2 linked regions of the Coturnix japonica genome follow. The protein of the gene in region 1 binds, or shares a complex with, the protein of each later gene. Links are inferred from orthologs where the notes say so. Each region holds a gene or a part of one and is shown on either strand. Other genes may lie near its edges.

The links. Proteins that work in one complex are often made in the same cells at the same time.
Region 2: the proteins of ubiquitin-conjugating enzyme E2 E2 (region 1) and DET1 are in contact, whole or in part, in a cryo-EM structure (PDB 9BJZ), measured with the Homo sapiens proteins. The link is inferred for Coturnix japonica from reciprocal best matches to the Homo sapiens genes UBE2E2 and DET1. Residues at the interface, in NP_001357154.1 of Homo sapiens: Ala77, Gly78, Pro79, Lys80, Gly81, Arg88, Ser89, Thr90, Gly101, Val103, Phe105, Phe123, Arg124, Thr125, Arg126, Ser134, Gln135, Gly136, Gln194, Trp195, Arg198, Tyr199, Ala200, Thr201; in NP_001137546.1 of Homo sapiens: Arg258, Phe259, Tyr261, Asp264, Thr267, Val268, Phe272, Glu274, Asp289, Pro290, Phe291, Ile292, His297, Arg298, Leu300, Val301, Trp304, Arg305, Phe319, Phe320, Gln321, Phe323, Asp324, Arg327.

What each region holds. Positions count from the first base shown.
Region 1 is NC_029517.1:33,816,232-33,822,600, forward strand, and holds part of ubiquitin-conjugating enzyme E2 E2, read left to right. Parts: intron 1-2,182; exon of another isoform or gene 2,183-2,187; 5' UTR 2,188-2,195; coding exon 2,196-2,371; intron 2,372-6,369.
Region 2 is NC_029525.1:11,804,159-11,810,970, forward strand, and holds the start of DET1 (DET1 homolog), read left to right. Parts: upstream 1-2,685; 5' UTR 2,686-2,792; exon of another isoform or gene 2,793-3,385; 5' UTR 3,386-3,414; coding exon 3,415-4,497; intron 4,498-6,812. UniProt on the Homo sapiens protein: Component of the E3 ubiquitin ligase DCX DET1-COP1 complex, which is required for ubiquitination and subsequent degradation of target proteins. The complex is involved in JUN ubiquitination and degradation.

The DNA of each region.
Region 1 (6,369 bases):
CCCGGGGGTGTCACGGAGCGAAGGGGGGAAATCAGAAGGCAGCCAGACATCAGATGACAGATTCAAGCATTTTCCTGCTGTAAATGCTGGCATTACATGTTACAGTAATTATATGCTCAGGGCTACTGTTACAATGTTTGTCTGCTGGATAGTAACCTGAACTTAACCCAGCAATGCAGTTGGTTTGGGATAATAGTAATATTTATAGCCAAGATTATTTGCAGCAGATGTCCCGTGCATGCAGGCTTCGTTAAATAGGTTTTTAACTGTCTGGCCTGCAGTGTTAAAGCGTGTGTGTGTGTACATCAGGAAGGGAATTTTCTCTTGAAAATGAGATGTGTTAAGCAAAGTTCAGAACTAAAATCTAAAGTAAATAAAGGCCATCAAAAGTGCTATTGAGAGAGATCAGGTGGTATTTTCGCTGTATGTAGAAGCAAAGAAAACAGGTGCCTACAACCAAAATTGCACTGTCGTTATTAAATGCATATTTTGACTTGTCAGAATATGGTGCTTCTGTGCTCTATTACCTCCCAGTCTTCTATTTGTTTTATCTTTACATCTGACAAGCAGGAGATAAATACAGAGGCATTAACCCATGTAAATATGTTAACTGTGCTCAGTATCATCCTGTAGCTGTACCGCAGGGAAGGTTGTTCTGCTAAGAATGAACAATTTCTTCCTTTAATTTTAGGAGTCAAACATGCTGTTATTTCAGTTGTTTTATGCAGTGAAGTGTAAATTTGTTTTATATAAATTTATGCGAGAAAATAAGTCTCAAAACCCACCATTTTCAAAAATTGAATTTGAACGTAGCATAAACTGAACAAGGCGGAACTGATCCCATATCCATCGCTTGCTATTTCTTGTAGCATCTAAATATGTTGAACATCTCAGGCTTTCAGGGTCTCCTTTCTGTTTAGCTTCAGAAATTAAACCAAAAAACCCCCACCCTTAGTCTTCTCCCTGGAGATTATAATTGTATGATCTCCACGGTGAATAGTTTGGCTCTTAAACTGGGATGGTGTCTGTACCCAAGTAAAAGGGAAAGCAAGTGGAAGTTCACAGCAATTTAAAACTCTGCAGCAGATTCTGGATTTGGTCAGATTCAATCAGAAAAGTCGCTCCGATTTGTGGGATTGTGTGGATGTGAGTGAGGGATGTTGAGGCCTGTGTACCTTGAATGTGGCTCCTTTGCTCTAGAGGAGGGCAGATAACGTGCCCATATCAGCCCCATATTTGGCCCTTAGATATATTGAGGGTTTAGTTTGTTGGTTTGGGGGTTGTTTTGTTTTTTTTTCCAGTTTTCCAGCAGTCATTGCTACCACGTATGCCAATTTATAGACAGTTTTACATGGATGTCTGCTCTTCATTAGAATGCTTTAAGAAGTCCTAACAGCTGTAACTCCTCGTCTGCCATAGTGTTATACTACTTAAAATGAAGGAAACAGTGAAAATAGCTAACTGGTATCAGAAGTGTGTGTGTAAACTGTGACCTCGACTTCTGGAAGCATGTTGGGGTTTCCTGTAGCTTGTGTTCCCTGACAGCTTTGGTGCCTCATGGCAGAGGATACTTTGTATCCCCTCCCAGGATACTTACTGCTCTAGAAGCATTGCATTTAGTAAACACAAACAGTTCTGTGTTAGTGCCTTTTGGTTCTGCAAGCGTTTCCATCCAGTGTGCCAAGATGTGGAGTTTGTAATGTGGAAACCCATGTTAGAGACTTGGAATGAACTCACAGGTTTATTTCATATGGGATAGCAGAGTCTTCAGATAGCAGTAGCTCTGGGTTTTTAACAAACGATGTGAAATGTGAGCTGGTGGCAGAGTGATGAGAAAGCTAACTTATGATATGACCAAGGGGTGGGAAAATCTCTTTTATGGCACTGGTGTAGTACTCACACAATCGTGTTTTGTGCTTAACTGCAGTAACTTGTCATTATCATAAATAACAAATCTGTCCTCTCTTCATATATATTTGTTATGGAATTTGAAACGACCAACTCCTGAATTATTGTTAAGATGTTTATGGCAAAACTCTTCAGTACTAAGATGACTGAAGTGCTGTAATGCAAGTGTTTCAGTATAGAGACACGGATCTTGTGTGTTATTTCCTCCTGCAAGAAATACTGTCTGACATCTTCTTCTGGGAAAGCTGACCTTCGTTGTTTGTGTTTGGTTCAGTGCAGCATCTGCCATGTCTACAGAGGGGCAGAGAGTTGATGACAGTCCGAGCACTAGTGGAGGCAGCTCTGATGGAGATCAGCGTGAAGGCGTTCAGCCTGAACAAGAAAGGGAGCAAGTTCAACCCAAGAAAAAAGAGGGCAAAATATCAAGCAAAACAGCTGCTAAACTGTCAACTAGTGCTAAAAGGTACAGTGTTCTTCTGTCTTTTTCTCTTCCTTTCTTGTTTTTCAGCTGGCCATCAGATGTTATGTAATGGTTCGGTATATTCATTTTCTTACTGTTTTATTGTAGCACTACTGTGTCAGTGTAATAGTCTTCTGAGGCTGGTCACGATAACGAGACCTGTATATTTTTTTTCCTTTCTTTGACAAATTGGCTCTTTCACATGGTTTTAATAGTAGCCTGCATGATAAAAGCTGACATTTTTTTATTGCTAGTAAAACTCAGACAGTTTTGTAGCCTTATAAAATACATCTCTGTATGTGTATGTATGACTGATGTTGAAACTTGTCAGTGTAACTTACAGTTAATTAACCATAAACATTTCAGACAGTTCAGTAACTCAGCATGTTAGGACTACCGTAATACCTATTGCTGTAAAGAACTGCATTCCCTTTTCCCAGATGGTCAGGTCAGAGACATTGAAGTGAACAACAAATGCATGTTGGTTTCATTACTTTAAACTGTGGTCTGTTTTAATACCTATTTCTTTAGCATCTCTTTACTTCTTGAGAGGAAAAGTGGATTTGTAGAACAGCTACTGAAATTATTCTCATGGAATTGTTTCTGTTGGATGGAATTCTTAAGGGTTATCTCGTCTAACTTCTCAGCCATGAACATGGACACCTACAGATAGATCAGAGTGCTCAAAGCCCTGTCCAGCCTGACACTGAACATTTCCAAGACATCTATATGGTCGTGTTCATTTCCAGATAATGACTGTCACGTTTGGTCCAGACCTGGGGAACTTAGTGCTTAGTGTTGCTCCATCAGTACTTACTGGTGTTAGTCCATATAGTAGAGCTCAGATGGGATAACAGTGGTTGTAGTTAAACACTTTTAGCAGAATCTGATGAGATCAACTGTGCAGACTGTCCCAGATTCTGTTTTTCACTAATTCAAGTCAGTGTGAACTGCAAGAAAAAACATTGGAGATGTGCTGCTGTGCGGGGAAAAAAAGAATTGCACATGGAGCCTTGCAAAAAAAAAGGAGAGACCCTTTTGCTGTGATTTATAAAATTCTCCTACGTGCCTACATCTCATCGAGGTTCCAGCCTATGTCTTGGTTTCTTCTGTCCTTTACTATCTGTGTGCTTCTCTGTCCTGGACTCACTTGTCTTTCCAGTGTGTTATTAGCATGCTTCTCTCCTGCCCCAGGCACCTCCCCATGAGGCCTTTGCCTTTTCTCCTTCCACAGCAAGATGCTTTTTCAAGACCCATTCCTAATATGATGCTGTGCGTAGATGACATAGTTGTATTGGTTATAGGATAGCCAACAGAGCGTGCCAAGGTTTCTTTTCACAACTAAAAGAAAAAGAAGTAATAAAAAAAGAAACAAAACCAAAAGCTTTCTCTTCAAGCCATAGTGCTACTCATTTAGTTAATTCCTACAGTTGTTATAGTTTCTGGACTTCTTCTCTTCTGCCTGCTTGCTGCTATTGTTTTTTAGTGTAAGAAATATTGGACTAGACAGGAATATAAAGGTCTCAAATCCAATTTTTAACATGTTAGAGAAGAGTCTGAACTTTGTACAGTGTCTAATGTGATGACTCCGTGATTCCAACAAGGGCCTGTGGACAGTATCCTATTAAAAAATTAATAATGATATGTCAGAAATTGGTCTATTAATCTTAGCTTTGCATCTTCAAAGCTTAGGGCTTTTATCAACATGCATTTCACAGTGATAAAATTACTTAAACCTTTTAAAGTTTAATCATATCTGCTTATGATTCTGCTGAAACTAATTATGCCAGTTGCTGACATCAGTACATTTGCTGGTTAGACTCTAACGAGAGTTTCACGTTTACTAATATTGAAGAAAAGCCTTTGATTACGCATTTTAAAAGCTGAGATGATTTATAAAAGTATAAGGCTTCTGTAGATAAGCGCACAATAAATAGCACTTTTGATAAATGTATTTTCAGGAGTGCTGGTTGTCATAAAACTGGGGAAGAATCACAGTGATATAGTCTTCACATGGTTTAGTTTTTATAGTTGTGTAATCTATTCAGTGGTTTTGTCAGCGTGTTACAATGAGGACAACGTTACTGTAAACATTCTTAATCTGATCTGGTATTTGTATTTAACAGGTTTTGTTTCTTTGCTTTTTGATTAAAAGCTGTAAAACCTCACAGAAGGAAAATCAGAAATTAGAGGATGAGGAAAATATGAAATTAAAGTGGAGGAATGAAAGGAGACGAGTAACATCAAAGAAGGGAAAATATATTATCACGTTCTGTGCCAATGATGTTGTTTTGTGTACTCAGTTTCTGTGATACCTTTTTCATCAGAAATGAATAATATTGTGAGAATAAGGCTATGCTCCTTCAATTGACTATAGTTTTTGACCATTATGGTTTTTTAAATGGAAACAAATTGAAGTAATTTTGCTGTCCTTCTGGAAGGGAAAAAAGACTGGATGTGTGTTCAGCAACTTTTTCCTTTGTTAGCTTTTGAATTCTGTAGTCTTCATGGCATTATACTGAGGTGACAGTAATCTTCACTTAATTAAAACAGGCAACTCTGCTAACATCAGTAAAAAATCCAAACAACAGAGGCTTTAGTAATTAAGGAATTTTGACCAAAGCCTCAACTTATGTTTAGAACAGAGAATGCTAGCAAGTTAATGTAGCACTGGAGATAAATCATTCCCTGGTCTAATTAATAGGCTATGGGCTTTATTCTAACCTGAATTGGGAAGCCACGTTTTGCCACCTGAAGAGACCTTCCTTGTGTACAGAAATATAATCACAGTATTTCTGAATTAATTCTAACCCAGGTAGCATAAAGTAAGAATTTGTTCATTTCTAGTTGGCTTAATTCTGTTCTACTCTCTAATTGTGTGGTTATGTAGACAATTAGATCTACTTTTAAAGATTTTCAGTAGTATTGACTTCATATAAATCAAGATTTAGCAAAGCTCTTTTCCACTTGTGTAAACACCCTGCTATCATGCCTTATGCAGGAGTGTGCTGCTGTAGCAATTTAGTGTTTTTCGAAATGGTTTTGTTATGAAGGGTATGTGAGGCTGCTTAAATGTGCATTTAAGATGCAGTGATTTTGTTTTACTTCTGTTAGCTTTGCTATAGATGGCATTAAGAAAGCAGAATGCCTCCATGCTCAGTCCTTCTCTGTTAATTCTTTTAAGGTTAGCCACTATACAGGTGTAATGGCTTACAGCATATGTTGTACAGTTTCCGGTCCTTCAATTTTCCTCACCCAGAGGGCATCACCCTAAACAGCAACCTTTCTTACCTAACATGTCAAGATTGAGAAACTCACTGCATATCACAATTACAGTTCAGACATGGAATTGAATTGCTGTCCTTGAAAACAGCAGGCATCTTGTTACCTCTTAAGCAGCAAATCTTAGCCTGACCTTTCAATTGAGAGAAGTGTAACCACTCTTGGCTGACACAGTAGCTCGACAAATAAATGTATTGTTTTGCTTCTGAAGTTGATAGTTGAAAATCTGTCAATCTGAGTGTCCAGTTCAGGATTTCTTTTTATAAATATCTGTGCTTACAATGAATTGTGAACTTTAAAATCTCAGCTGTAGGTATATACATATAGCTGTATGTATATATATACACAGAATATTATATATATATAATTGAAAGAAGGAATGCCTACTAGTTAATAGGTTACATTTGTTAGAAATCAGACTAAAATGAGCTTCTTTTTTTCTTCTTAGGGGTGCTTATCATAGTGCTATTTCCAAGGAACCTGCTGACCATGGTAGAAAAACAGATTGTTCTTTCTTATGAGAACTATCCTTGCTGTTTACATGTGCATCTAATATGATGATTGAATATTTTAATTCTTTGAGCATGAATCTGACCATCTTTGGATAAATTTCCTACTCAGTCACAGTTTCTGTGAGACTGAAATTTATACTGGTGATGGCATTTCTTAGTATTTCCTAAAGAACCTGTACTTCAGTATGGAATATTGGTTCGTGTCAT
Region 2 (6,812 bases), on another chromosome or scaffold:
CTGCCCCCTTGGCTGCATCCTCACCCCAACCGTGTCCCGAACCGAAGCTTGCTGCTCCTTGGGGCACACAGGATGCTTTGCCTGAGGGAAAGCCCCACAGAAGCTGCTCCTTTCTGAGAGCAAGGAAAACACCACTGGAGATTTCACCCATAAGAACCCCCCCCCCCATATCAAATGGACAGAGAAACAGAAACACCTCCAGAAGGGATTTCCCTGTGGTTCCCAAAGCACCCAGCACCTCTTCTACTGTACATGGGTGCCTGCAGCCGTGCACGTTTGGAAAGAGCACCATATGAGAGGGCACAGCCTCAAGCAGGGCTACCTGCACCAGGTTTGCTCTCTGCAAAGCCTAGAGGTTTGTTTTTCTCTCCTCCATCAGCACAGCGTGGATGAGAGGGGGGGCCACGAGAGGGGAAAGCGATGTGCAGGATCTGGAGAGGGTCTTCGTTCCCTGAGAGCATCCAGGTGAGGAGATGGCCGGGGCTGCGTGAGGCAGGGTGGGAGCAGTGTGTCCTTCCTTTCCTTCTTCAGTCCTCAGCCCCACTGATCCCACAGCACTTGGTACACAGCAGCAGAAAGGTTCTTGCTTCAGTAAACCACCCAAAACATCCCAAATGAGCTCTGCTTATTGTTTTTTAAGCCTCCATGCTTAGCTATGGGGATGGATGGGAAATATCTGTGCAGCACTGGGGCTCATCCCAAGGGATCTGTGATGGGAACGTAGACACATTTGAGGTTTTGAGGTGGAACAGGATGGTTTGTATAGGGGAGCTGATGCTGTCAGCCATCGGAAAGGGCAGATGATGTGCAGCTGGGAGCAGAACTTCAGGTTGTGCCTGAGATGCATTGGGCTGTGCTGGGAATGGCACTATCACCTTTCCCAGCAGCAAATGGGATGGCTCGGAGCAAAGCTTTGTGCAGGCTTCTGTCTGCAACACTCACTTGCTTTCTTTGGGTGCTTTCCACCAAAACCTCCCCCCAGTCCACCTTAGAGCCACCTGCAGCTGTAGGATGGACAAAACCCTTCCTAAAAGAAGAGCAAACCAACCCAATTCCAGCCAATTGCATCCCATCTGAACCCACTGAGCATCCCACCCAGCTCCCTACTCCCAGCCCTCCAGCCTCACTGAGTTTTCTTAAATCCCATCAGCAAACCCCGACAGACAAATGAAAACAAAACTGTTCCCACAAAGGTCTGCTGCCCTGAGCCACAACACGGGGCTGGCCACGGCAATGGAGTTATTAGCTCAGGAGCTCTGATTGCTGCTGTGTTAATGGCTCTTTTGTCCGTTGAACTGCCTGTCTGTGTGTGTGCTGGGCGGTTATTTTCCTGCCAGCTGCCATGTGGTTGGATGCTCTTTGGTATTTAGTTTTATCCTATTAAGGTGGATCCCAATTAATTACACAGGGGGGGGGGGAGGGAAACAAAGAGAAGCGCTGAAGCCATTCATTTTCAGCTTGTCATCGTGTCTCCTGTTGTGGAAAACCACAGGGAAATGGGCACGGACCCCCAGGCCCATAGAGTGGGTCCTTTCCTCATGATCCCATAGGGGATGCAAGGTGCCTCCTTTCCACACACATATATGGGGGCACAAGGTGAGTGGTGGGGTTGTATAGGGGTTATAAAGGTCCCCACTGACCTGGCACCTAACTGCCACCCCCCATTGGGGTGATGTCCCAAGAGCTTTGTGGGGATAGCAATGTCACTCAGTGCTTTATGGGACTGAGGCCCTTCACCCAGGGCTGGCTGCAGCACAGTGACCAGTGTGGGTGAGCACGTCCCCAGCAGGTTTATGGGCTCAGTTATGCAGGTTTATGGGTGTGTAGACTTATAGGAGCGCAGGAGGGATGTAGGCTGATAGGGCCACAGGGATGTAGTTCTGAAGGGGTGGAGGATGGGTGCAGGTTTATGGGGGTGTGTGATTATGGGTTTCAGGATAGGTGTAGGGCTGTAGTGATGCCTGTTTATGGGTGTGCAGGGCTATAGAGATGCATGCTATAGGGATGCAGCATTTGTGCAGGTTTTTAAGGGTGAGGGGCTACAGGGCTAAAGCAGTGCAGGGTTATAGGGGTGCAGGATGGATGCACATTTATGGGGGTGAGGGTTTATTGCTTGCAAGCTGCAAGATTATAGGGGTTTAGGATGGGTGAAGGGCTATAGGGGTGTGGATTTATATGTGTGAAGGGCTATAGGGGTGTGGATTTATATAGGTTCAGGGCTATAGGGGTGCAGGGCTATAGGGTTGCAGGTCTGTAGGGTTGCAGGTCTGTAGGGTTGCAGGGCTGTAGGGTTGCAGGGCTGTAGGGTTGCAGGCTATAGGGTTGCAGGGCTATAGGGGTGCAGGGCTATAGGGGTGCAGGGCTATAGGGGTGCAGGGCTATAGGGTTGTAGGCTATAGGGCTGCAGGGCTGTAGGGCTGTAGGGCTGTAGGGCTGTAGGGCTGTAGGGCTGTAGGGCTATAGGGTTGTAGGCTATAGGGTTGCAGGGCTGTAGGGTTGCAGGTCTATAGGGGTGCAGGGCTATAGGGTTGTAGGCTATAGGGGTGCAGGGCTATAGCGTTGCAGGGCACGTTTCAGTCCGTTCCCGCTGTACGCGGACGCCCCGCAGCGCTCCTCCCTCCGCCAGGGGGCGCTCTCTCTCTCTCTCTCTCGCTCTCTCTGCGGACACTCTGGTACGCACCTCCTCGCTGCTCCACCGACCGGAAGCGGAAGCGGGCGTTGAGGGTGACGCCTTCTCGCCGCCGTCGCGGTGCGTCGTTGTGTGGTGGCGGCAAGATGGCGGCGGCCATACAGTAAGAGGCGGCGGCGGCGGCGGGTCCAGCGCCGGGCTCCGTTGGTGAGCGCGGCCTGCACCCTTCGTGGGCTCCGCCACACCGTGGCTTCCAGGCCCGGGGGGCTCCGAGCTCCTCTGTGCCCCGAGGGCCCGGACCTGAGCCCCAGTTCCCTGCGGGGCAGAGGCAGAGCGGCCCCCGGTCCGCAGGCTCCAGTCAGGCCGCTCGTTGATCCTCCTGTTCCCGGTGACCCACAGGCCGCCCCGTTTCCCCCCGGGCTCCCTCTGTCCCCGCTGTCCCGGCTGCTCTCACCCCCATCCCGGTGCTGCCGTGTCCCTTCATTCCGGTGGTACCCACGTATGTGTGCTGCCTTCCTCGGCTCCATCCTTCCCTGTGCCCTGCAGGCTGTTCTGCAGGTCCCATCTCCCTGCTGGGTTCTCTCTGGGTACCTCCTGCTGTCCCCGTTATGTCCCACTGAACCCCCTCTCCCAGTCCGTCTCCCAAAGGCTTTTTCAGCTGCCCCCACCTTTATGGGATTGTGAGTTTGCTCGCAGCTCCATCTCTTGTTATCAGCCTTGGTGAGGTCCCACGGTGAGTGTGTGCACCATCTGCAGCAGGGTGAAGATGAAGTAATGCTCTGACCATGGACCATGATGCCCCCACAATCAAGCCTCGCCGCATTCAGAACCAGAACGTCATCCACCGCCTGGAGCGCCGTCGGATCAGCTCTGGCAAGGCTGGCACCCACTGGCACCAGGTCCGTGTCTTCCACCAGAACGTCTTCCCCAACTTCACCGTGGTCAATGTGGAGAAGCCTCCCTGCTTCTTGCGCAAGTTCTCCCCTGATGGGCGCTACTTCATCGCCTTCTCCTCCGACCAGACCTCCCTGGAGATCTATGAGTATCAGGGCTGCCAGGCGGCTGAGGACCTCCTGCAAGGCTACGAGGGGGAGATCCTGGCTAATGGCAATGACCAAAGATCTGTCAACATCCGAGGGCGGCTCTTTGAGCGCTTCTTCGTCCTGCTCCATATCACCAATGTGGCCTCTAATGGGGAGCACCTGAACCGCGAGTGCAGCTTGTTCACTGACGACTGTCGGTACGTCATCGTTGGCTCTGCTGCTTACCTGCCTGAGGAGCCTCACCCTCCCTTCTTTGAGGTCTATCGCAACAGTGAGTCGGTGACCCCCAACCCTCGCTCCCCTCTGGAAGATTATTCCTTGCATATCATTGACCTCCACACGGGCAGACTCTGTGACACGAGGACTTTCAAGTGCGACAAAGTCATCCTCTCTCATAACCAGGGGCTGTACCTGTATAAGAACATCTTGGCCATTCTCTCTGTGCAGCAGCAGACTATTCACGTCTTTCAGGTGACGCCCGAGGGGACTTTCATCGATGTGCGGACAATCGGCCGCTTCTGCTATGAGGATGATCTCCTGACACTGTCTGCAGTGTATCCCGAGGTGCAGAGGGACACTCAGACGGGGATGGCAAACCCCTACAAAGAGCCCTTCATAAACTCTTTGAAGCACAGGCTGCTGGTGTACCTGTGGAGAAGGGCAGAGCAGGACGGCAGCGCAATAGCAAAGAGGAGGTTCTTCCAATACTTTGATCAACTGAGGCAGCTCCGCATGTGGAAGATGCAGCTTTTGGATGAGAACCACCTGTTTATCAAATACACTAGTGAAGATGTAGTGACGCTGCGGGTAACAGATCCTTCCCAGGTATTGCCTGCCACCTGGGGCTCCCTGTTGCTTGGGGGCAAATGCTCTCAAGCAGGTTCAGTGCTGTGAGCGGCATTTTGTAGCTGAGCCTGTGAATGTTCACTAGATGTGCTGTTTAGGATCCCATTACTTCATTCTTGCGTGAACATTTGACACCCTTGGTATTGAATAACTTCAGTATCTTTTGCTCTCACGATTTCACCACATTCTTTGCAACTGAAAATGAGGCAGAAAAGATCTTAGGTGTTATCGAGTCCCCTTTCTCCAGGGATTGTTCCCTGTGCTCAGAAGTGCTTCACAGTGCCCTTTCCCTCCTAAATCCCCAGCTGATTTTTTTAGCTGCTATTTCATGTAATACACTCGCATTGTAGAGGTAGTCTCTCCCTTTTCTTCTGCATCTTCGAGCATGTTTTTCAAATATAATATCTCCATTTTTCACCAGTAGAATTACCTTTTCTATGCTGCCTACGTACTTACTCTTTCAGGCTTCTGTCAGAGCTAGTATTTATGATCTCTCCAAATTGAAGTAGCAGCTCTTAAATCCAGCTAATGTGCCAATTGCTTTTCCTTTCTGTTTAGTACTAAAGAAGTCAAATTAGAGTAAATGTAGCTCAGATGGTGCTGGGTCCCTCCAGGCTTTTCACCATCCCACGTGTTGATCATCTCTTTTCACCACTGTTACTGTTACTCAGTCTTTGAGCTGTGTGAAGCTGAGCAAGGTATTTTTCACATTAACCTACTTTAGTCCTTTGCTCTGTGCCGTTTGGTTGTTTGTTATGGAAGTATTTGGCAAAAACAATTAATAAATCTCTACCTCTGAAGTTTGTCAGGTTCTTCCCTAGGTGCTTGTTTATCCTTCCCATCCCATCCTTCCCATCTTACTGGTTCCACTACTTAGACCCTAAAATAAATGGGCAGTAATTCTTGGTGACCATGATTTCCCTTTTATGTTTGTTTTGGGGTAACTATTTTAGGAGGGAATAAATGAGGCTAAAACTGTTTTTACCCACTGGTGTAAAATGGGAGTGGCTGTCTCAGGAGCGTGAAAGCTTTGCAGTGTGTTGCTTGTATTTAGAGTGGTGTTCCTGACCCAAGCCTCAGGCCACCCCAGTGTGAATGTTAGTGGGAGTGTCAGCTCTGCTCCCTGCTGCGGTTTTGTGCCTGCTTTGCTCCAACCTGTTCTTGATTTGCTTCACCTGAAGGTTACTTTTAGCTACAAATTGTGGCTTGTTTGTGCCGTTCCTCAGGTGATGTATTTTCTGCTGGAGGGAAGCATCTTCTTTCTTTCTTCTTTCTTTCAGAGGATAATTCCAGATGTGGAGCAGCCTGACCTGCCCGAGTTTAGTCTTGGCGTTAGGGCTTCGTGAAGAACACTTTGGTCACAGAATACCTAAAGCTCCCATTTATTTCTTTCATCTATCAGGGCAGGACATGAGTCTGGTTTCAGGATCCTCTGTTCCTTTAGGCTCCTCTGCTAAGGAGGCTGAGGAAGTTGCTGTTCACACTTGCAGGTTGCCTATATGTTGCTGTGTATATGTAGCTTAGGGGTTGTTGTTCCTGGCTTGTATTTCAGCTTAGCCAGCTTTGCTGTGTGCTTTTTGTAACTGCTGTCTGTACCATGTTTACGCTTTGCCTGTGTCACAGGTGCTGCTAAAATGTAGGGAGAAACATTTCTCTGGTTGAGGGCATCTCTGTGTTGAGGGCAATGGAACTTCTTTATTTAGGGCTGGAGGAGATTCCCCGCAGTTTTATAAGATGTAAATAGTTTCTACTTCTGCTGTCTCCTCTTATTTTCTCTCTGCTCCAAAGCTGTATTTCAGGAGGGCTTTCCTTTCCTCAGGCAGTTCAGTGAGTAACCTCATTCAGCGTGCTTCATTTTAACGTGTGGGGGTCGGGTTGTACCATCACCATTTATTTTGGGTCCGTAAAACAAGTAAACCTTGTGATATTTACAGATGGATGAGGTGGGCAGGATACCTGCCGTCATCGCTGAGCATTGACTGGGAGCAGGATGTGAAGCATTCAGAAATGGTGTTTATGAGCTGATATGTGCATATCAGTGAATTAGTTACATCTGAAGGAGGGACAGGCTTTGTAGTACTGGAAATCCAGCCCTGTCCTGTTTAATGAAAGCTACGTTTGGTGACCAAGAATTAAATATGCCCCTTCCTGGTGAGATGGGAATGTCCTTTCCCTTTATTGTAGCTGTGCTGGTACACACACGGTGTTTTTCTCCACCTCTGGCTTGTTGATGCTGTGAAGCACTGACATTGCTGATGTACAATACAGCACCTGGGCTTTCTTGCATGAGAATG